Linked DNA regions of Drosophila melanogaster. Changing the gene in region 1 together with any one later gene gives a genetic interaction. Each region holds a gene or a part of one and is shown on either strand. Other genes may lie near its edges.

What was found.
Region 2: of nod (region 1) and neb, changing one enhances a phenotype caused by changing the other (phenotypic enhancement), as found in Drosophila melanogaster (one study listed by BioGRID).
Region 3: of nod (region 1) and lwr, changing one suppresses a phenotype caused by changing the other (phenotypic suppression), as found in Drosophila melanogaster (one study listed by BioGRID).
Region 4: of nod (region 1) and ncd, changing one enhances a phenotype caused by changing the other (phenotypic enhancement), as found in Drosophila melanogaster (one study listed by BioGRID).

The regions. Positions count from the first base shown.
Region 1 is NC_004354.4:11,578,905-11,586,257, reverse strand, and holds nod (no distributive disjunction), read right to left. Parts: upstream 5,487-7,353; 5' UTR 5,335-5,486; coding exon 5,218-5,334; intron 5,154-5,217; coding exon 4,959-5,153; intron 4,889-4,958; coding exon 4,354-4,888; intron 4,302-4,353; exon of another isoform or gene 4,220-4,301; coding exon 4,074-4,219; exon of another isoform or gene 4,065-4,073; coding exon of another isoform or gene 3,785-4,064; intron 3,726-3,784; coding exon of another isoform or gene 2,098-3,725; exon of another isoform or gene 2,083-2,097; intron 1,953-2,082; coding exon 1,762-1,952; intron 1,699-1,761; coding exon 988-1,698; intron 910-987; coding exon 804-909; 3' UTR 508-803; downstream 1-507. Other genes in the region: pkm (pinkman), read left to right, coding at 2,098-3,725, 3,785-4,064. UniProt on the Drosophila melanogaster protein: Required for the distributive chromosome segregation of non-exchange chromosomes during meiosis. May be a microtubule motor required to hold distributively 'paired' chromosomes at the metaphase plate until anaphase.
Region 2 is NT_033779.5:20,074,177-20,078,770, reverse strand, and holds the start of neb (nebbish), read right to left. Parts: upstream 3,015-4,594; 5' UTR 2,915-3,014; coding exon 1,475-2,914; intron 1-1,474. Other genes in the region: pr (purple), read left to right, coding at 3,746-3,813, 3,921-4,000, 4,435-4,580.
Region 3 is NT_033779.5:540,051-544,203, forward strand, and holds lwr (lesswright), read right to left. Parts: upstream 2,531-4,153; 5' UTR 2,380-2,530; intron 2,330-2,379; exon of another isoform or gene 2,301-2,329; 5' UTR 2,198-2,300; coding exon 1,718-2,197; 3' UTR 1,659-1,717; exon of another isoform or gene 1,187-1,658; intron 1,119-1,186; 3' UTR 549-1,118; downstream 1-548. Other genes in the region: Spp (signal peptide peptidase), read right to left, coding at 3,191-3,299, 3,366-4,153.
Region 4 is NT_033777.3:29,803,746-29,808,868, forward strand, and holds ncd (non-claret disjunctional), read right to left. Parts: upstream 3,383-5,123; 5' UTR 2,882-3,382; coding exon 2,659-2,881; intron 2,600-2,658; coding exon 1,962-2,599; intron 1,903-1,961; coding exon 661-1,902; 3' UTR 545-660; downstream 1-544. Other genes in the region: CG7789 (uncharacterized protein), read left to right, coding at 1-541; ca (claret), read left to right, coding at 3,590-3,857, 4,060-4,661, 4,724-5,123. UniProt on the Drosophila melanogaster protein: Minus-end-directed microtubule-based motor protein. Has ATPase activity. Required for normal chromosomal segregation in meiosis in females, and in early mitotic divisions of the embryo.

The DNA.
Region 1 (7,353 bases):
ACTGGATGCCCGCAGACTGATTTTTTTTCTTTAAAAAATATATTCTATAGCTTGATATTATTTTGGTTGTTATATCATGGCTAGATTAATGAATCAACGCTCGGGAAACCCAAACAGAGTATTTTGATGTTTGAAGCGAAGGGAAATCGGATAAGATTTCCAGCCAAAAGAGAGTAGGAATGTGTATGGAATGCCGATTTCCAGCGCCATGTGTTTGGATTGGATTGGCAGCTTATCTCGTATGCTAATCGTATGATCATACATACCTATATACATATATATATCAAATATGTATGTATGTATATACCAAATCAACCAGGAGAGAGTGCTAACTAAACTGGAATCGAAGCGGCCGAAACTGATGGATTCGTAGATAGAATCCCCCTGTTGAGTGAGTGCGAAGAGTGAAGATCGACGACTTCAATAATCAATGTATATATATATGTATATTGTCTAAAAATTATATGCCAAGAATAAAAAGTGTCAAAGTGTAAAAGTCCTATTATTATTGTTATTGACCTAAAAGTTATTTTACTTTAAATCAAAAAATGCAATTAAATATTAGATTACATAGCGCTTATTTAATAGGTAGTCTAAGCTATCATCAAATAAATTATAGTCGAAAACAAAAAATAAGTAAACATCTTGAGAAATATTACACATACACATATATAACTGTTTGTTTTAGGATATCCGGCTCCTTTTTTTACTCCTACTATAGTTGTAAAATCAAAGTATATGCCACATAAATAACAATCACTATACTATATTCGAATTAAAATGCTATTTAATTAGTAATTGTATCAAGTGTCGAGACAGTTAATTTGACAAAATCGTTCCCATTTATTTCCCGACCAAATGGGCAGGGATTTGACTTGAAAAAGATTCTCGAAGCAACCCAGGCGGGATCTGAAAAATGTGGATTACGGATTAAGGGTTATTGGGTAAAACGCAAATAAAGGTATGCCAACTATGTAAGTAACTTACCTGTGCAAGGCCAAACTAAAGGCGGACTTTGGACCGATCCCTGGAATCTCCTGCAATTGCTTAACGTTTCCATTGTTAAGCAGGTCCAGAAAACATTTTGTATTATTGGCCATCCAGGCCTTGGGCGCAGGTTTCACGTTTCGCGTACGTTTTTTTTGCACTGTACTTCGAAGGTGCGGTATCGCATCCGTCTCGTTTTTCACAACAACGGAGGTGGCATGTTCCCGGATTCCCGCCAGCCGCGTGCTGCGCCGCAAATTCATAACCTTGGGAATGGCTCCATAGTTCTGCGAACGCATGCTACTCGCTAGACGCACGGAACGACGAAGGCATGGCTGCTGTGGCGAAGCCACTACTGTCTCCTCCATTGGCTGGATGCCGCTAAGTTCTCGCTGAGAGCTGGATGCCCGTAGACTGATGGGACTGATGGTGGTGTTGAACAGCTGGCAGCGTACAGTTGTGGGCACCGTGGGGGCAACCATTGACTGTTGCACCTTTGACGATTCCTTGGGCTCGGTCTCTTCGACAATGCCCATTAGCGTAGAGTTCTGGCTGCTGGCTTGCCTTGGCTCTTGCCCTGTTGGGGGAGGCATTAAATGCCTATCCTTATCGCTATCGCTATGGAAACCCAACAGACTCAGACTGCTGTCCTGAATGTGTATAGACGAGAGCTCCAGCGTGGTCTCCTCCAGCTCCAATAGCTCGCGAGCCCTATGGAGGAAGATATGGGAGGATTAGATCATCTTCGCTTTTGGTCCATTCCGTGTTACTCACCTTTTCTTAGCTTTGGGCGTCATGCCAAGTTCGGAGCGAGTTCGATGGAGCACGGCGCTCAGCGGCTTGGTTGTGCTATATTTGGATTTTGGAACCACTATGCTATTATGATTGGCTGCGTTTGACTTGATGGCCGTCGAGGTGCATAGCGCTTGGCGGAAGACGTGTGTTGTCCGTGCGGCCAGCGATTGCTGCAATCAGAGCAAGATGGGTGGATGAAACTCGAGTAACTGCATCGTTCGATTTGCGGTCAGTGCGGTTGGAATGAGTTCGGTTCGGTACGGCTTGGTTTCTCTATATAAACGATCCACACTCGCGGCGGTGGCGTAGTGTGCCATGGAACAGCCCAGTGAGAAGACGCAGGAGGGGGAGCAGAAAGATCGCCAAAGTCAGGAAGTGATAGAAGTGGCATCCGATCAAGGAAATTCACCAGACTCAACAGAAAGTTATCCAGATGTCGATCAGAAGTCACCTAAACGAATTGATGTTGAGGAACCAAAGGAGGAGAACTCAAATAACAGCGAAGCAGTGCAGGATTTAGAAGATAATCGTGTGAAAAAGGAGGAATTGGTGGCAGAGTTGGAGGAACCGAGAGGTGCTGAGGTGGAGCACATTGAAAAACAACTAGCCAAAGAGATTGATTCGAAAGTGATCGACAAACAAGAGCTCAAAGGCATAGAGGAGCTTGATAAAAAAATTCCCCAGTTGAATCAAACATTTGGAGATCAGTTGTTGGAAGGAGATGATGAGCCTGAGGCGAAATCAAAGGATGAGCTGGCAGAGAATGCGGACAGGGAAAAACTAGCAGAAATCTCTGCGAGTGAGATTCAGCTCACTGGCAACCTAGCAGCTCCAGCAGAGCAAGTTGATCAGAAGGAAGCCGAACCAGATCCACATGAAGACACCGAAGATGAACGAAATGGGGAGGTGAATAGAGAGCACCCAGACAGGATGGAGAGTCCTGTAGAGCAACAAGAGGACACAGCCAAGCCAGACGAAGATCTGCCCAACGAGCAGGTTACACAGTTCCTTCGCCAACTGGTCAGCCAGCTGTGGCCAGAGCTGGGCGCCAATCCGGAACTGCGTCTGGAAAGGGCGAGTGCCAAGGGCGACAACTATTTGGGCGTGGTGTGGCGCCTACAGGCGGCATCCGATTCGAAACGCAGCCTGGTGGTTAAACTGCCGCCACAGAATCGCGTGCGCCGCAAGCAATTCTTTGCACGACCATGTTTCCTGCGCGAGACGGCAGCATATGAGGTCTTTCTGCCGCTGACTGCGTTAATTCAGGATAAGTGGAAGATAATCGGAGATGATCGTTTCCGGCAGCACGCGCTCTGTTTCGGAACTCGCCAGGATGAGCCCAACGAGTGCATCGTGCTGGAGGATCTGTCTTGTGCCGGCTTCTCACTGCACAATCGCTTTCTCGACCTATCCGTCGAGCATGTGCGTCGCGTAATGCTCACCTATGCCAAATTACATGCTATATCATTGGCCGGGAAACGGCAGTTGCCCGAGAAAATGCAACAACTGCAGCAGCTGGTGGATATCTTTGAGCAGCGACGCGATGATCATGCCTTGGGGGTCTACTTCGAGAATCTGAAGGAAAGCGCCCTATCCGCACTGCTCGCACCGGCGGATGATGCATACAGAGTTCGTCTGGAGGCGTACTTCGCCAGAGGATCGTACTTTGAGCTGCTGCTGCCTTTGGTCAGCGGATTCAATTGCGAACCCTTCGCTGTTATTTGCCACGGCGATTGCTGGAATAACAACATTCTCTACAAGAGTACAGAGCGGGGCGAGCTCGAGGACGTGCGCCTGATCGACTGGCAACTGATGCGATATGCCTCGCCGGTCACCGATCTAGCTTACTTCCTCTTCACTTGCACTTCGCGGCGATTCCGGCAGCGACACCTCGAAAATATGCTCGAGGATTACTATGAAGAGTTGGGCCTGCAGCTGATTAGGTAAGTAAAAGTATAAGAATCCTAGAGCTTCAACTATTGTATTGTTGTGTTCGCAACAGACTAGGCGAGCGGGTGGAGCAACTTTTTCCCCGTCCTGCATTCGATGAACAGGTGGCTACCAAAGCGGCTGTGGGCCTGCTTCTCGCCATGATGGTTCTACCCATTGTAACGATGCAGGGTCAGGATGTGCCCGACCTTCAGGCAATTAGCGAGCGCATCGAGGCGGGGGCCACTACGGATCTCCATGGAGCTGGTTTCCTGGGCGCGGGCAACGAGGCTACATTTAAACAGCGTATACGCGAGGTGATCCTCGACTGTGTGGACTTTAATTACATATAGATGGCTCACCTTCTGGCGCGCCACTTGCATCGGATTCAGCCGAAGCTTCTTGGCACTGGTGCCAAAACGCAGGGTGGACAACGTCTCGCTGAGATCGCATTGATGCGGACTGATGCAGGCCAGAAAGGTCAGATACGACTGCGCGGTTAGCGAGGCTGCAAAGAATGAAAACGGCAAGAAGTTGCAGTCAATATTTATAGTAGTCACTAAGTCGCTAATCAATAAAGGCTTGAACCCAAATGGTCCACTAACTAATTGAGCATGAGACGATCCAAAACGTAGCACTTACCCTGCAGAACTGTGGTAAGGACGCTGTCGCGGTATGGTATCACTGTGTGGCCCGCCGCCATGGACATCACCACCTTGTTGATGCTCAACAGGCCCAGATTGATGTTGACGCCCTCCTGCCTGGCCACGCCCTCGTGCCCAGTTCGCCGCACGCCTTCTGAACCGGCCAGATCCACAATATTCATCCGCGAGTGATGGGTTTTACTCTTCACGTGAATGGTGACTATGGCATGGGATCGCGAACTATTGGAATTCATATTGGTGGGACGAACGCGTCGATTGCGAGTGCCTAGCTCCAAGATGTGATGCAGATCCGCCTGGCTGTGCAAAGGAAGGCAGGTGCATCGCTGGCAACGCGCCGCCACCATGGGCATATGTGGCGTGGAGCCCAGCAGATCGAAGGGTTTCTCATTGTAGATCTCTATGAAGGAGGCGTACACCTGAATCGCATCCTTGTTGTTCTCCTGCCGGGCGGTCACGCGCTCAAAAATGTCGCCCAGGGCGCGAGGCAGAATACCCAGGTGCTCGGGCAGTATCTGTAAAGGAATAGAAGCGATAGATCAGTGGGAAAGATTTAAGCCACTGATGGCTAAACGAAAAACCCACCTCTCCCGGAGGTGTCATGCCCATTGAGTAGCTCTTGCCCGTTCCCGTCTGGCCGTAGGCGAGTGCAGTGCACTGGAATCCCTCGAGCAGCTTGTCCACCAGCGGCAAGATCAGCGCCTGGTACATCTCATCCTGGCTGATGGTCGCGGGAAAGGCGTGATCGAAGTGGAATTCATTCTGATCCACTATTAACGACTACAAAGCGAGATGGCGGTCATATACCGTTAGACATGCACATGGCCAATGGTGGGGCACATACCTTTCCGTCGCTCCATGGCGGAAACTGGACGACGCTGGGCTCCCGACGCCCCAAGAACTGGCGGTACGGCGCCTCGCGGACCGCAATCCGAACTGCGCTTAATTTGGCGCCCTCCATGCAGATTGAAGAATTGAAGTTGTTTGAATAATGCACAATTGGCTTGCATTCACCGTAATTATTTTACTTTTTTGACGAAGCCAAGCGACCTTTGCATTTCAAATTGATTTTGGCAGTGTGACCGTCGCGGTAATAACACTAAGAACGATCTGGGTTGGTGTCATGGATATTTACATTGTGGCTTGTGACCTCGCTTTTGGTATGTGTATGTTGTAGGGGCCATCTCTAATTTAACTTAATCTTGCTAAAATACTGCACACAACTTAACATGTTTTGCAAACATATCGTGCACAATGGCATCGCTATTGTTCATGAGCATAACATTACAGAACTCTGTTAATGCGCCACCCTTGCCAGCCCTGGCCTGCGCTGCCACCCTATATGATTATAGACACACATAGCAAGTGCGGAGGATCGGTATTGCCAACTTATTAAAACAGGAACAAGAACTAACAAATTTGATGGAAAAAAAGCCGCTTAAAACAGTATTTGCAATAGCAGATAAGTCTTTATTTGTCATATGTAATTTAAGTGTCAGTTCTGGTCACCCTGGAAACCAAGGTGGCAGCCCTAAAAGCATCTCGAATTTCCGTTACTTTTAGCGCCAACAAAATGGCGGAAATGTATTTGCAGTTAATTAGTATTGCCATCTCTCTCTAAGCCAGCACCGTTCGCCTTCTCTTTCTTTTCAAGACTCGTATACGAGAGAGATCGCCTCTCTATTGTCATCTCGCTCTAAATCGATCTGTATTATTTGGCAATTGTTAAGTTTCGTATAACATTTCACTAGTTATATGAAATTTACCAATTTATTTTGTATTTTGACTGGTTAAGGCGCGTAAAACGTTACCCATATATGCATATATATTTGCTTAATTTGCAACATTTTACACGTCTTTTAAGACTTCAGTTTGCATTGCGACTTGTACAATGTTGCGTTCCAAGACACATTTTTTTGTCTTGTATTGTATTGTATTGCATATTGTATATTGTATATTGTATATCATTCATTTTGTTTTGTAGCTTGACAAGCGCGTCAACCATGAAAACAATTCGTTTGTGATTTCCAAATAGTCGTACTCATCTCACTGTCCGTAAGACAATTCAACTTAAACATTTTCGACTATGCGGAAATCGTTACTCTTGCTTGATTTTGCTTCGGAGAACGTTTCGAACGATTATCAATGTGATTCGAAACGATCTCTAAAGCTATATGTAACACCAATTTACCCTTTCGATGGCCATCCGAGCTACCTAAACGAAAGAGAAGAGGATGGAATTAGGATTGTCATAGGCGCAACGTGTCGGAAAATCTAATTCAATGGATGCTACACTGGTTGGATTTGGATTTATGTTTTATTTTTTTGGAGAGGATCTCGGAAGTAACGTACTCACTTGCAGCTAGTTGGAGACTGAATGGAAAAGCGAGGGAAAATTGAGCGGGTGTTATTAATAGGTCACCACCATTTTGCTGCCAGAATTCGAGTTCAAGTGTGTATACGTTGCACTGCGCGGAGTACTCACCAGCTCGATGGGAACTGTACCAAGTGGATGGATTCTAAACACCCCGAACTTCTTTTTTGTGTTAAATTTATGCGAGTGCAAGGCAATCGGAGAAAAACAAGAGCAAAATGCCAATTGAATGAGTAATCAGTGTGTATGTATACCAGAAAATAATGAACTCAACTGCAAACGTGTCTTTTCAGTGTCTTTTGGATCAAAGGAAGTGAAGTTTTCAATTTAGAAATAATAGCAACCAAACTAATACCTCTAACTAAAGCTCTTTTTGTTTCGCTTACCTAAACGCTCGACTTATGATATAAAAAGTAGCCCTAGCTTAGTGTGACCAGGCCGCGAATGCCGCAACATCTAGCTGCTCTAGCCCTTGATATTTTCGAGTTTTGGCCACACTAATGACTGCGAAAATACCGAATAAAATATAGTGGGAACTGCATGAATGCGAAAATAGCGGGATTCCAATACCGAATAAAATATAATGGGAACTGCATGAATCCGAAA
Region 2 (4,594 bases), on another chromosome or scaffold:
CTTTCGATCAAGAGCCTCTCACTTGTGGGCGCCATGTAATTACTCATTGAATGCAGTCGAATGATTATAAATTACGTCGCAAATGTCGAGTGCGCCTTTTTTTAGAAGCCAGATACTTGTATTATATAAAACCCTCACTTTCGGATTAACTAGCCTGGTAATATTCCAACAATCAAGTTATTACGAACGTGTGGCGTTCGCTTAAGAGCAGTTGTTAACTTAAAATGCACACATAAGTATGTTACATTGATTGCTAAAGAAAACGCAGTCGTTACTCAATTCAAACAATCGTGAAACAAGTAGCTAATATGTTAACTAATGCACAACATTCAAGTCTCATGACAAGTTTATAACAATTTTCCTGCTAATGCTATGTAAGCATTTGCTGAGGTTTTATAACAAAATAATTATATTACCCGGGTGAAGACACTGCTATCTTTTTATTCGCGTTCTTAAAATAAATTTCTAGAAAGTTTACACGTGCGCCTTTGTATCAGGTCATAAATTTTATGGTCACATAGGAAAAGCAACAACAATAGATTAAATAGATATGATAAGAGGCCAAAATTTTAATCACTCAATTGATTGAGGTGCGGGAGGTCTTTGATTTGGTAGACCTTAATAAAAGGCTTTCCTATCGAAAATGATAAGGAAATAATAATAATAAAAAATACACTAAGTCTGCTGGCAATCTTAGCAAACAAAATAAACAAACGAATGATAACAAGGTTCGAGTTTAGAACTCGAGATCTCTCATATTTAGTCCTATAAAGCGCAGATAAACTCAATCTAATCTCTGGCTGATGTTGTCGTCTTCTTTTCCTTGTTTTTTTCGGACAATTTGACGCTTTATTTTAATTAAAGTAATTAGCACCCCAGTTAATTGATAGAGCCAACATAAATCTGTCTAGCAGCTGCTCCTCGCAGTGCAGACATCATTAAAACAGAATTCGCGTGTCGCGCGAGTCGAGATGATATCTCTGTAGACAGTGGGCTTCATAGCTCATCACGAGATCTGTTGAAAAGACGAATATCTGCCAGCCAGTTAAGTAAACATTTGACCGTACGAACATTTTGTGGGTACTTTCCGCAGGGGTCAACGTGTCATTTGCATGTTGCAGTGCAGTTCTACGTACTGATTGCTTTCCGGGTAATTACTGATTGCAAGGGGACCCCATTCCGTGGGCCACTGCCTAATCGAAGCGAAAGTGTTGATAAGCAATCCTATCGGTGGTGGCAAAAGTGCGGAAAGCATTGCGAATATACATATGCATTTATATTGAAGACATGAGGTTATAAGGTTTTACTGAGCTGAACTTATTCGAAACACATACTTAGCAATCACTTCTGGGTACAATTATTGATTTCAAAAACCAAGGGGATAAGAAAGAGTTATCATTAGCCGAAAGTAGACCAACCTACTGACCCGGTTGATAAGTACAAACGCAGCTAAGAACTATTTCGTAACACTTACCCGCAACAGCCAGGTGAGCACGCTCTCGCGATAGGGAACGAAGGTGCTGGGCGTCCCAGAGCCCAGGGGTCCATTGGCGATCGCCTTGCGGGAATCGGCGAGAGCAGCAATTACTTTCCCCAGCGTCAGCAGGCTCTTGTTGATGCTGACGCCCTCGCGGATCCGCTCGCCGTTCGATCCGGAGACGCTAATGCGTTCGCTGCCCGCCAGGTCCACCAGGCTAATCTTGCTGCGCCGCGTCTGCCGCAGGGAGGAGGCCGTGCTCGAGTCCGTATCCGAGGACAGGCCATCGTCACTGCTCAGATCGGTGAGGTTTAGGACAATGTTGAAGATGGAGTGTGAGCGCGAGCTCTTGTCGTTCATGGCCGTGGAGGCAGTGGCCCGCTGGGAGTTGCCCACGGCAAGCCAGTTGCGGAGTGCCGAGTACGAGTCCACCGAGTGGGCACTCAAGTCCACTACGTAGGGCCCGAAGATGGGATGCTCCCTGACCTTTAGAGCCGGACGCTGCTGCTGTTGTTGCTGCTGGATGGGCGTGGATTCCCCGGTGGCAGCTGCCGCATGCTGGACACTCAGCAGATCGTGTATCTTCTCGTTGTAGATCTCAAAGTAGCTGACCTCCACCTCCACCTGCAGCTGCTGCTGACTTTTCACAGCCTCTATGCGGCGGAATAGCTCGTGGCAGAAGCGTGGAATGATGCCCGCCTCATCGTGCGGCGGTCCGCCATCCAGAGCGGCGTCATCCAATGCTTCAATGCCCATCATGCTGTACGATTTGCCCGAGCCCGTCTGGCCGTAGGCAAACAAGCAGGCATTGTAGCCCTCGAAGGCAGTGTCGATCAAGGGACGCGCTGTGCCCTCAAAGACTTTGGCCTGGCAGGCGAAGTTCTTTCGTTCGGGATCGCACGAGTAGTAGACCTGGTCGTAGCTGAAGAAGTGCGTCACGCCGGCGGAGGCATCAGCACTGCTGCCCGCTTGGACAGTCAGCTCGTTGCTGTTTCCGTGCACCTGGACCACATTGGTGACCTGACCACGTGTGCATTCCAGGGCATTCAGTGGCCGCACTCGCACCGCCACAATCATGTTGCTCTCCTCGGACACGCTGAGGCAGGACTCCATCAGAGAGTCCCGCTCCTTTGTCCTGCTGCAGCTGGATTTCCCGGTGCCGGGCGTCTTTGCTCTTCCAGGAGTAGAGTTCGCATTCCTGTACAGCGACGAGGGTGTGTAGCAGGCATTCAGGGCCGTGGGCTTGGGCTTCGGCTGTGGCGTGCTCCCGCTGAATGCAGTGTTCAGCAGCTGTTCGGGACGATCCCGGTGCTCCCGATCCTCCGCCCGCGTCATCAGCACCTTCTTGCGCATCTCGGATGCCGGCGTGGATTTGTGGACTCCTCGCGTCTGGAACTGCTGGATGCGCTGCCGCACCGGAGTGCTCTTGTTGCTCATGTCTAGATTATTATTTAGGTATCTCTGCTCGTTTTTTAAATAACGCCGAAGAGTTTCGAATTATTGCGCGGCGTCGTTTGTTATTTTTTTTCTAGTGAAGGGCGGCGATCGATAGCAAAGCAGGGTTGATTACAGTGAGCGGCGTGAGGTCCGGCAACGCCACCACGAGCCAGGGATGAACAGCACTTACATACTCTGTTAGCTAACTCTGTTAATCAGCTCATTTAAATTATGAGATAATTGACAAAGAACTAACATGAAATAAATAAATATATAGCGAAATTGTAATAGTGTAAGGATTTCTACCCATACAATAGTCTATTTGTGCAGTTGTAAATCACTGAGAACAGTTGTGGCGGCAAACTGCTCAGCTCTGGCCGATAACCGATACGCGCTGCCTTGTTATCGGGAGCAGCTGTTGACGAGCAACGTAGACAAAAGTAAATATTATTGAAAATCCATAGCAATTAAAGGTGAGTTCCTTGCTGAATTGAGTTTGTTACCATGGCTATAGCATACCACACCCTGTCTTTGCAGCACGCATAGGCACTTGCAACAGAAAACGAGGGAACATCAATCGCTAATCAGCTGCAATTAGCCGCACTCGAAAAGTTCAGAGAAACTAGTTCCGAGCGTGTTGATATCGCAGTCGCCGCATTTGTGGCTTATATTTCCTTGTTCCCTCGATCCAAGTACCATATAAATAAGCGCGGCTCAAAAGCAGGTTTTGCATTCATTGTAAAACATTGCCAAAGCGCGCAGCTGATCAGCCGCATATATAAATCCACATCCAGATACAGATCCAGATATATAGTATAAATCGGACTTGAAATGTCGCAGCAACCTGTTGCCTTTTTAACCCGTCGCGAAACTTTCAGCGCCTGCCATCGTCTCCATAGGTAATTAGATTGAATCAAATTGAATCATTCAATTGCCTGATTCAATCACGGCTGGCAAACCAATTCAGTTCGATTTAAATTGATTGCTGCATCTATTTTCTCTTCAGTCCCCAATTGAGCGACGCCGAGAATCTGGAAGTCTTCGGCAAGTGCAACAATTTCCACGGCCACGGACACAACTATACAGGTAAAAAAAAAAATACCCCTTAAATACACTTAGTCGCATGATTACCTGCAAAGTGCCACACTTATTATCACATAACCCCGGCTCAATCAGGCTTAACCCCCTACTAAACTGGTAATTTGAGCCCAAAGTGGTGCCTAACCATAGCAAAACCTTGGCCGACAAGCTCGCTTATCAAAACCATATTCAAGTTCAACGCTCAAAGGCAATCAATATGTTGACTGGCGACCGAGAATTGATAATGAATAATGGTTCTGAACGAGCATAAAGTGTCGCAAGTGCTCAACTGATTAGAAATTTGGATTATATTTAGATTGTCAATAGCTAAACCTTAAGAACTCAAGCTTGACTCGATGCCGATTATACCAAATTATACCAAAAAATGTGTGAATAGACTACGAAAGATGTTCTTTTATAATCCTTTGTGATCTTTTCAGTTGAGATAACCGTCCGTGGTCCCATCGATCGGCGAACCGGAATGGTGCTAAACATCACCGAGCTGAAAGAGGCTATAGAAACTGTGATTATGAAGCGCCTGGACCACAAGAATCTCGATAAGGATGTCGAATACTTTGCCAATACAGTAAATAACCAGCA
Region 3 (4,153 bases), on another chromosome or scaffold:
ATCCTAGCCTCCTTTAAAAATGTACACTATCCAAACCGCAACCAACCATCGACGACAGTATTCCCGGAAAATCTCCCGTCGCTGCCCTCCACTTCCAACTCCATTTGGGGACTGACTCCTTCGACTTACCGATCGATAGAAGTAGATATATACATCGTACTCCCGTACATATACAGTACACCTAAAGGAATAACACATAGATACTTAGGTACATTAATTTAGGCGCATACCCATTAAGTGGGAACCATGACATATAATGCATGCCAAAGCTTACCACTTAGACAGAAATTAAATTGAGGGCGAGAAACTACAAGTTTGCAATGGTCTGCGGAGTAGAAGGAGGCGAAGTATTCCAATGTAGATCCAATACTATAATGTAAATTACTCGCTGTTCCCCATAAAGCGAGCAATTCTAACTGTGTAATTTAAATGAGTACATTATTTATTAAGTGTGTGCGACAATAAAAGTAATTAATTTATTCAATATAAAATATAGTGAAATTAGTAACTAAACGACATTTTACATTTTTGAATTCAACGAACGATTTGAGTGCTGCCAGATTAGCGAAAAATGTTATGACGACATAGTTGCCAGATTGATTAAAATATTGTCAAACATCGGACATATTACCGGATCAATAGAAAAATATTGTGGCATCCCTAATAAAAGAACCGTTAGATTAGACCAGGCATCAGATAGATCAGCTGATCGTTGGTAGCCTACTAGAAGTTCTGTTCGCCTGGTACTCAGAATAGAGCATGCCCACCAAAACCAAGACTTTGGGAATCCTGGCGGTTGTTTTAAAAACACCTTTCCACGCTTATGCTTCCCTGGTAATTCAGTTCGAAATATATGAGCATCCTCGGGAAAAATAATAAATTCAGCTGTCAGTATGCCGGATTCCCCAGACTGAAGTACCAGGCGAACACAAATCTCAGTAGGTGTTTTAACTGGGCATTTTTCAATATGGCGGCCTCGTTGGAAATGAACCGTTAGCTGGAAGCATTGCTATATCAGCAGCGAATGCTACCAGATCAGCCAAAAATTATGCATAGTAATGTTGGCGGACTTGCCAGATCAGCTGAAATAGTTGGGAAATGTGACCAGCTTCAAATGCCTAAAAATCAAATAAAATATAAAGGTAAAAATGGACTGAACAAGTTTTTAAATAAAATGCTTAAATTTAAAAATAGTCATGTTACTTAAATAATAAGCAAAAGGAAGAACTTTATATGGAATAATTCAAGCACTAAATCCAGCTGTACGGCTACTGACGACCAACAAGTGCTCGACTGCACATTTGCTGGGAAATCCTTTCCGCTTTAAAATGCATAAGCTTTTACAACTAATAAATTTTTATTGAAATTACATAGGTTTGTACGTAGTACTCGCGATACAAAATAGCCCGTAGAATAATCGGCACCTGCACCCAGAATGGAAGCTGAAAAGAGCGTCGAATTCTGGGTGCCACGTGGCCACTTTGGGCCTCATCGAAAAATTACAGGACTTATTTGTATTTATTCAGATGGTACATGCTGGTAATTAAGCAAGTGCAGAACATTAAAAAATTAGATGCTTCGGGCCGCGGGGGCTATCCAAAATTAGTCGATTCTTTAAAAGTAAGTAGACGTGGAGAGCATTCCAAACAAACGCTTACCGGCTAGATGTGTGTATTTGTTAATGTCTATGTGGTAAAGGTGGTTGGCAGGAGCCCGACTACTCAGTGGCCGCCATGGCGCGGGCCTGGGCACGCACGCGCTTCTCGTACTCCAGTCGGTTCTGGCAGTAGATGGTGTAGGCCTCCGCCTGGGCTGGGTCCTTGATGTTCGGCTCGTTGAGCAGGTCCTGGATGCCCAGCAGGATTTGCTTGATGGTGATGGCGGGGCGCCAGTCCTTCTCCTCGTCCAGCAGCGACAGGCAAACAGTGCCCGAGGGATAGACGTTCGGGTGGAACAGCGGCGGTTCGAACTTGCACTTGGGCGGCGAGGTGGGGTAGTCGTCCTTGAAGATCATGCGCAGCTTGTAGAGCCCGCCCTCCCAGGGGGTGGACTTCTTGCCGGGAATGGCGCACTCCCAGATCATCAGGTTGAGGGTGCCGTCAGGGTTCTTGGCGGGTCGTGCGACGAACCCGAATGGGTGATCCTTGCGCCAGGCCTTGCGCTCCTCCCCCAATCGTGTAATAGCAATGCCGGACATGGTCGTCGCTGCTTGCTCGCTTCTCTACTGCCGCCCGAACGTGTCCTCGAGTCCTGGATTTCCGCTAGCAGTCCCACTTGGCCTTTTTTGCACGCGCGTCTGTCTGCGAATGTGTGTGTGTGGGTAAGTGGCCTACGAGGGGCTTTGTCGCCTTTTGGCGCGCTAAGTGCAAGAGCACCTACCTCTCTGTTCGTCCTTGCGTCTCCAGTGGTTCCAAGCAAATTAATTATTTGCAATCGCGGGGGGAACTCGCGCTTTTCGCAATTTTTACCGCAATTTTTCAGGAATGAACGCTTGTGCTCGCTAAAGGTATAAGTTTTTCTACACAAAGGGTCTCACTATGCGGTTATCGATATTTAGTGTGGCCGTGGATAAACAGTGGTATTAAAATACTGACTTTTTCAAAGCACTTTTGTATTATGTTTTAAATTTAAAAATTCTTTGGATTTTGGTAAGCTCAACTTAAAATGTATTAGGTTTTTCTCTTAAGCCGTTACATTCCTAAAAACCCTCTACTCAATACAAAACTAGTTTAATTAAACGTTAGAATTAAAATTTATTCGCATTACTGTTTACACAAATTACTGCATTAGTTTTAAGAAATGCAATGTAGAATTCGTAGTCAAAATTGCACTGTTTACAAAAATTGGAATATATTTGTATCTAAACTGTTCTTAAACATATAAGCCTCCTGTGCGGAGCCACAGAAATATTTGAAATACATATTTAAATTGATTGCGGTAAAAAAGTCGAGGGAACATTTTCTACAATTGTAACCTAACCGAACTAAATAAGATTGTTGTGCCTGGCCAAGGAACGTACATAACTAACTCAGTAAGTGAATCGTCTTTTGTAGCGGTGTTAGTCCATATGAGCTATGGACTGCGGTAGATGGAGAAGCCATATCGAAACGAAAGGGAGCTTGGCTAGCTGCAGAAGACATTTACGATGGAACGAGTGGGGATGTTGTTCGGATGTTGCGTCCTCCCGGCTCTACTTGCCCTTTTTCGACTCCTTCTTTTTGCTGCCGGACGAGCTGACGCCCTCGTCCTTCTCCTTCTTCTCCTTCTTTTCGGGCTTCTCCTCGGGATGATCTTCATAGCTGCAGTGGGGGCGAGAATGAGTTAGTTTAGTTTCAAGTCGAGCGCCCAGCGCAGTCCACACTTACGCAAAGAGCACCTTCAGCTCGCCGCGGATGAGGGCCACCAGGAGGGGCGTGCCCATGCAGGCTGGCACCAGGTAGAGCAGAGCCGGCTGCGCATGCTTGAACACATGCATCACGAAGATGGTGGCCAGCAGGCCAAGGAAGTAGGCAATCAGCGTGGAGTAGAAGTAGATGCGCGTCTTGCGCTTCTTGCTGTCGTCGAAGCGCAGCAGCAGAGCGATGAAGATGCCCGGAATAACGATGTCGCCTAGTCCCAGCATTGCGAAGTTCGAGGCGTTCAGGCCGTTCTCGATCAGGTCCTGGGGGAACACTAGCTTGATGGGCGCCTCGAAGCTCTTGGCCACGGTGACCATCACGTTGGTGCCGAATACCCAGAAGATGTCGTAGAAGAACAGGCCGCTCAGCAAGATGACGCCCGTGACGAAGTTGTTCAGGTGCAGCATCTCCACGCCGTTGATGGCGAAGGCCAGACCGAACAGATTGTTGGCGATCCAGTGCTTCTTGAGCAGGTACCACACTCCGATCGCCGAGGAGATCACCAGGCAGACAATGTCGTGCGTGGAGAACTTGTAGTTAACGATGTCTTCCTTGTGCTTGCCCTCCCCCTTAGTGAACAGGATGTGGAAGGGCACCTTCGGCACGGCGGCGGGCATCAGCGAGTTGATCACCGGACTGAGCAGGTGCGCCAGAGCAATAACTCCCAGCACGAAGAAGTAGCCGGTGAGCAGGTAGTTGATGTGCACCTTCTGGAAGATCTTGAAGAACAGGTACAGCCCGAAGAGGGCTGCCGA
Region 4 (5,123 bases), on another chromosome or scaffold:
ACACGTTGAACACGTGACCGTCCTGATCGGCATAGCCGTGAAGGATGCTGCTGTGGGCGGCATCATTCATCAGCCATTCTACCAACAGCCCGATGGCGAAATGGGTCGCACCATTTGGGGCCTGAAGGGTCTGGGCACGGGAGGATTCACGGCAGTCCCCGCGCCAGCCGGCCAGTTCATCATAACCACCACTCGCTCGCATTCCAATGCCCTGCATCAGCAAGCCCTCAACGCATTCGCATCCACAGAAGTTCTGAAAGTCGGAGGCGCTGGGTTCAAAGTGCTCCAGCTGCTGGAGGGAAAGGCCCACGCGTACGTCTTCGCCACGCCGGGCTGCAAGAAGTGGGACACCTGCGCACCCGAGGCCGTTCTAGAGGCCCAGGGCGGCTGCCTCACCAACATCAACGGCGAGCACTACGCCTACAATGCGGATGTGGAGCACGTGAATCGACAGGGAGTGCTGGCCAGCCTGGGACAGGACCATGCCGCGCTGGTGGAAAAGATTCCCGCCGAGGTGCGGGCAGCAGTGGGAGCCAAGTGAGATAGCTTTGAATTCCAGCACTTTATTAGTTTATTTGCACTAAAAGTAAACACACATAAATTAAGCAATAACAGGTTAGAAATTTGAAAATTGTTAAAACTGGGCTCAGAATGCATTCTTTATTTATCGAAACTGCCGCTGTTGTTGCTCTGTGTGCTGCTGTTGGCCACCGAGTTGTTCAGGTAGCGATTCCGCTTGGCCTTGGTCATTTTGCAGGAGTTTACGGAGGCCGCGAAGCGCAGCGACTTGACGGACTCTTGGAAACAGTCTTGGAACGGCGAGACGTTGATGAACATAAGCGTTTTCGAGTTGCCGCCCAGCGAGGGCATCAGCAGGTGCGTCAGCTTGGAGTTCCTGTACGGGATGTGGTCCTGCTTCTGCAGCAGCGCCAGGATTACGTTGGTGAGCTCCGATAGCGAGCGATTGATGTTCTTTGTCTCGGTCATCCGGGTGCTCGTCTTGGGAGACTCAGAGCCGGCCAAATCCACCAGGTTTATGGAACCCACGGAGATCTCTTGCTTTTCGGCATGGCGTCCGATGAGCTCAAGCTTGGTAACCGCGTGGGAACGAGAGGAGCGCTCGTTGCCAGCTGTCGAGGCGGTGGCACGGTTCATCTTGGCCGTGTGCATGAGGTGGCGCAGGTGATTTGGATCCAGAACCGTCTCCTCCGTTATGTTGGACACGTAGATGTCGTTCTTGTTGTTCTTGGCCATTCGAATCTCCATGTCCTTCTGCTCGTTGCTCAGCAGATCGTAGAGCACCTCGTTGTAGATCTCCAGAAAGGTGGCCTTGATCTCGTACTCCCAGCCCAAGTTGCGATATCCCCGGATGGAGTCGAAGAGCAGATCCACCGTGCGCGGTATGACGCCCACACTCTCCGGCACTCCGTCCATTGTGTAGGTCTTGCCACTGCCCGTCTGTCCGTAGGCAAAGATGCAGATATTGTAGCCATCCAGGGCCGACTGGATGAGCGGCGAGACCATCTCGAAGATGTCCGACTGCGAGGAGAGCGGGTGGAAGACCTGGTCGAATGAGAAGATCTGCTGGCCCATCTTGCTTTTGGCCTGTGCGTCAATGCTCTGCAGCTCCACGGTGGACTCGTCGTGATAGGTCCAGGTGCAACACATACGGTTCTCCTCGGACTCCAGCGGCGGTCGTATTCGACAGAAGACCCGGATGTTGCCGCGCAGGTCCATGACCGTGTTGTGCAGCTCTTTGCGCTCCATGTTCGACTGGAAGAGCTGCTCTTTGCAGGTCTCCAGCTCGGCGGCCTGCTGCTCATTGCAGCGCAGGAGTTCCTCGGTGCGCTGGCGCAGATGCACCACTTCTGTGCTTAGAGCAGCATGCTCCGTTTTTACTTTCTGCAACACACACATTGTTGTTACATTTAACCTGGGTTTCTGTTTACTTGAGTACTCACCTCATGTATTGCTTGCAGCTCGGATAGCTCCTCTTTGGTCCTGCCCAGCGTCGATGTGATTGTTTCAATTTTGGCGGTATGCTGCTTCACCTGCCTCTGAAGACACTCGTTGTCGCTCTGGGTGTTCTTCAGCGAGGACTCCGTCTCGATAAGCTTGTTCTGCGTCTCCTCCAGTTGCTGAGGCATGGACTCCAGCTCGCCCATGTCCTCTGTTTGCTTTTCGTACTTTGTCTTAAGCACCTTGTGCTTCTCTAGCAGATCGTGGAAGCGGGCCTTGAAGTCGTAGGGAGCGATGCGCTTGGGAGCAGCAGCCGCGGCTCCTGACGAAGCTGCTGCTCCTGTTCCTGCTGGTTTCTTGGCGGCTGCTCCTCCTGCAGCCCGTGGAGCAGGACGCGTTACTGGTGGTCTTTTGACAGCTGTTGCTGTTATTGACGAAGGCGCCGCAGGACGCACTAGTCGCTGGCTGGAAACAGTGAGTGCACCGCCCAGGCGGGATACTTTGCTGGGAATGCTGGGCAATGAAGGAGCAGCCGCAGTGCGCTTGTTACCACGCAGTTCGTTGATGTCGCAAGCGCTACGGCTACGTCTCAGCTTGGCCCGGTGGCCCAACTTCATGGGCTCTGGGGAGGCGGCACGTGCTATCGGAAATTAGCAAGGACTTAAGGTGAATTCTTTGGAAGGATGCTTCTTTACTCACCTCCTCCTCCGCGACGCTCCAGCACCTGGGGCAGATTGTTGAGGTCCCTTGAGAGGGGCGGCAATAAGTTGCCGCAGTATGTCTGGTTGGCATTGACATTGAAGGCGCCTGCTCCAGCGGCTCCACCTCCCAATCCTGCGCGAATTCGATCTGTGGGCAGCACGGTTTTAATCGGCATTTGGGGTTTCTTCAGGCCCGACGGTTTCGGTAGCCGGGATTCCATCGCCAACTGTGTTGTGCCTAACTTAGAAGATACGTCTGCCTCCTTGCAACCGATTTTATCAATTAGTTTTGCGTTGTTGACAAGCGACGCCGTCGATTCCCGCCGTTATTTTTGATTGCAGGGATGCTCTGGGGCAGTGTGACCATTTGTCGGGAGAGTACGGCGTTGCCAGCCAAGACGACTTCCAGTTTGTCAATCAGATGTTTTCAGTGCTGCAGCTTTGGCCCTCGGGCACAAATTTTCGCCTTGACTCGTGCATCCCGCAGGTTTTCGGCGCGTGAAACTCACCCAAGCGGGTGTGAAATACGGTGGCTGTTGCATTCGAACCGTTCATTTTGTGGAAAAGTCGCGGCGGACTGTTCAACAGCCTGAAGAGTGAAGTCTTGTGCGCAGCACTAGTGTCGTTGCCGGACGGTTGCGGCAATCCGGGGCGAACTTCTTGAAAGCGTTTTGCTTTCTTTTTGCGAGCTTGTGCGGTGTGAAGGAAGGCCGCGCTATTCTGAAATTTATTTGTTGCCTCGAAAAAGCTGTGGAAATTGCGTTCCAGTTGGAAAGCAGTTGCGTGATCGGGTCGTTGCCAGACCGGCCGCAGGTCTCACGCGACCATCTCTAGTTTGTTTTCATTCGGATTGGAAAAGGCTCGTTCCCATCGAACTGATTTTGTGAATTTTAAAATTGGCTTCCCCCACGTCCGCCAATCCCCCCGAGATGTCGGGGCAGGCGGAGCTCAAGGAGCTGGGCATGTTCGAGCTGCGCCCGCTGATCACTAACATCAGCTGCAAGCTGTCCGCGGTGACAGCGGGGCTGGACGAAAAGCGACAGTTCCTATGCCTCGTTTCTGAGGAAAACGAGATCCTGCTGCGCTACATAAGCGCCGCCTCCGGCCAGGAGGTGGTCAAGATGATATCCTGGTTCCGCAACCGCGTCATCCACGACGTCTGCTTCGATCCGGCGGGCGTTTGGCTGCTGGTGCTATGTGAGTTTCAGCGTATGATGGCATGAGCACCACCCACTTTTTTGTGTTGGGTGGGTGGTTGCTGTGGTGGTGCTGCTAAAATTACTTTGCCCCCATGTGTGCGTGTATGGTTATTGATTTTCTGCTGCCTCCCCTTTGTTTTGATTTAACGATCGAATGGAGTCCTTGCTCAAACACCACTTATCCACTGCTCTGTCAACAGGTTTCGACAACACACTGCACATCGTGCCCGCCCTGGCGTTGGTGGACAAGGCCCATGGACTGTCCGCCTGCTCGCTCTACAGCACCACCCAGGTCACCTCCTACATCATCCCCTTTGTGGGCCCCCACGAGTGTCCCAACTCCAAAAAGTGCCCCAATCACTCCACCGGTCTGGAAGAGTCCACGGCGGAGCCAATGGATCAGTTGGCTGAGAACCTAGAGCAGGCCAGGTTGCAGGAAGGCGAAGAGGAGGAGCCTCTTGGCCACGACCTGCCCGAGCACATGCTGGTGCGAAATAGCGGAACTGAGGATGCAGTGCAGCCACTGCCGCAGCAGCAGCAGACGATCGATACCACCGGCAATAGCCAGGTGATGGCAGCCTCTTTCATGGCGTCCAAGACCTGCCCCTATCCCTTGTCCGTCGTCTGGTGGAAGACCAACAGTGGACAGAATAGGGCCATTATCGGCTACTCGGATGGCTCCATCTGCTTTGTGGGCCTGAGTCCCAACTGCCCCATGATTGCGAGCACTGCCATCGAAAACGGATCTGTGATGCGCCTGGTTATCTGCAAAGATAAAGCCTACGATGGTGTTATGCTGCTGGTAAGGAACTATTCTACTAATATAGATTTCCAGATGATAGAATATGGTTTACCGTCTTTCAGATAACTTCCTCCCTGAAGCAGCAGTACAAACTTTTGCTGGAGCAAAAGGCAATCAAATACGTCTATCCCGGAGACAGTTCCCCGACAACCCGCGAGGGCGCCTGGCAGATCGTGATGTCCGTGCAGGACAAGCATCAGAGTGCGGCGACAGGCGCCCGACAAAGCAATAGTTCCGATCCGGCCTCGGACAGTAGCCAACTGGAAGAGGATGTGTTCGCGCCTCCGTCCAGCGATGATGTGGTATGCAGTGGTCCAGGAGCAGCCAACTCAGACCCGTCCACTGTTTCGGCATCCGCAGAGGCAGCCACTGCAGACGTGCCTCCACCACCGGCGCCGCCTTCGTACAGTGAGGCAGTGGCTAGGCAATCCGGTGACCAAGGCGGCGTTCGCTTCCAGCAAC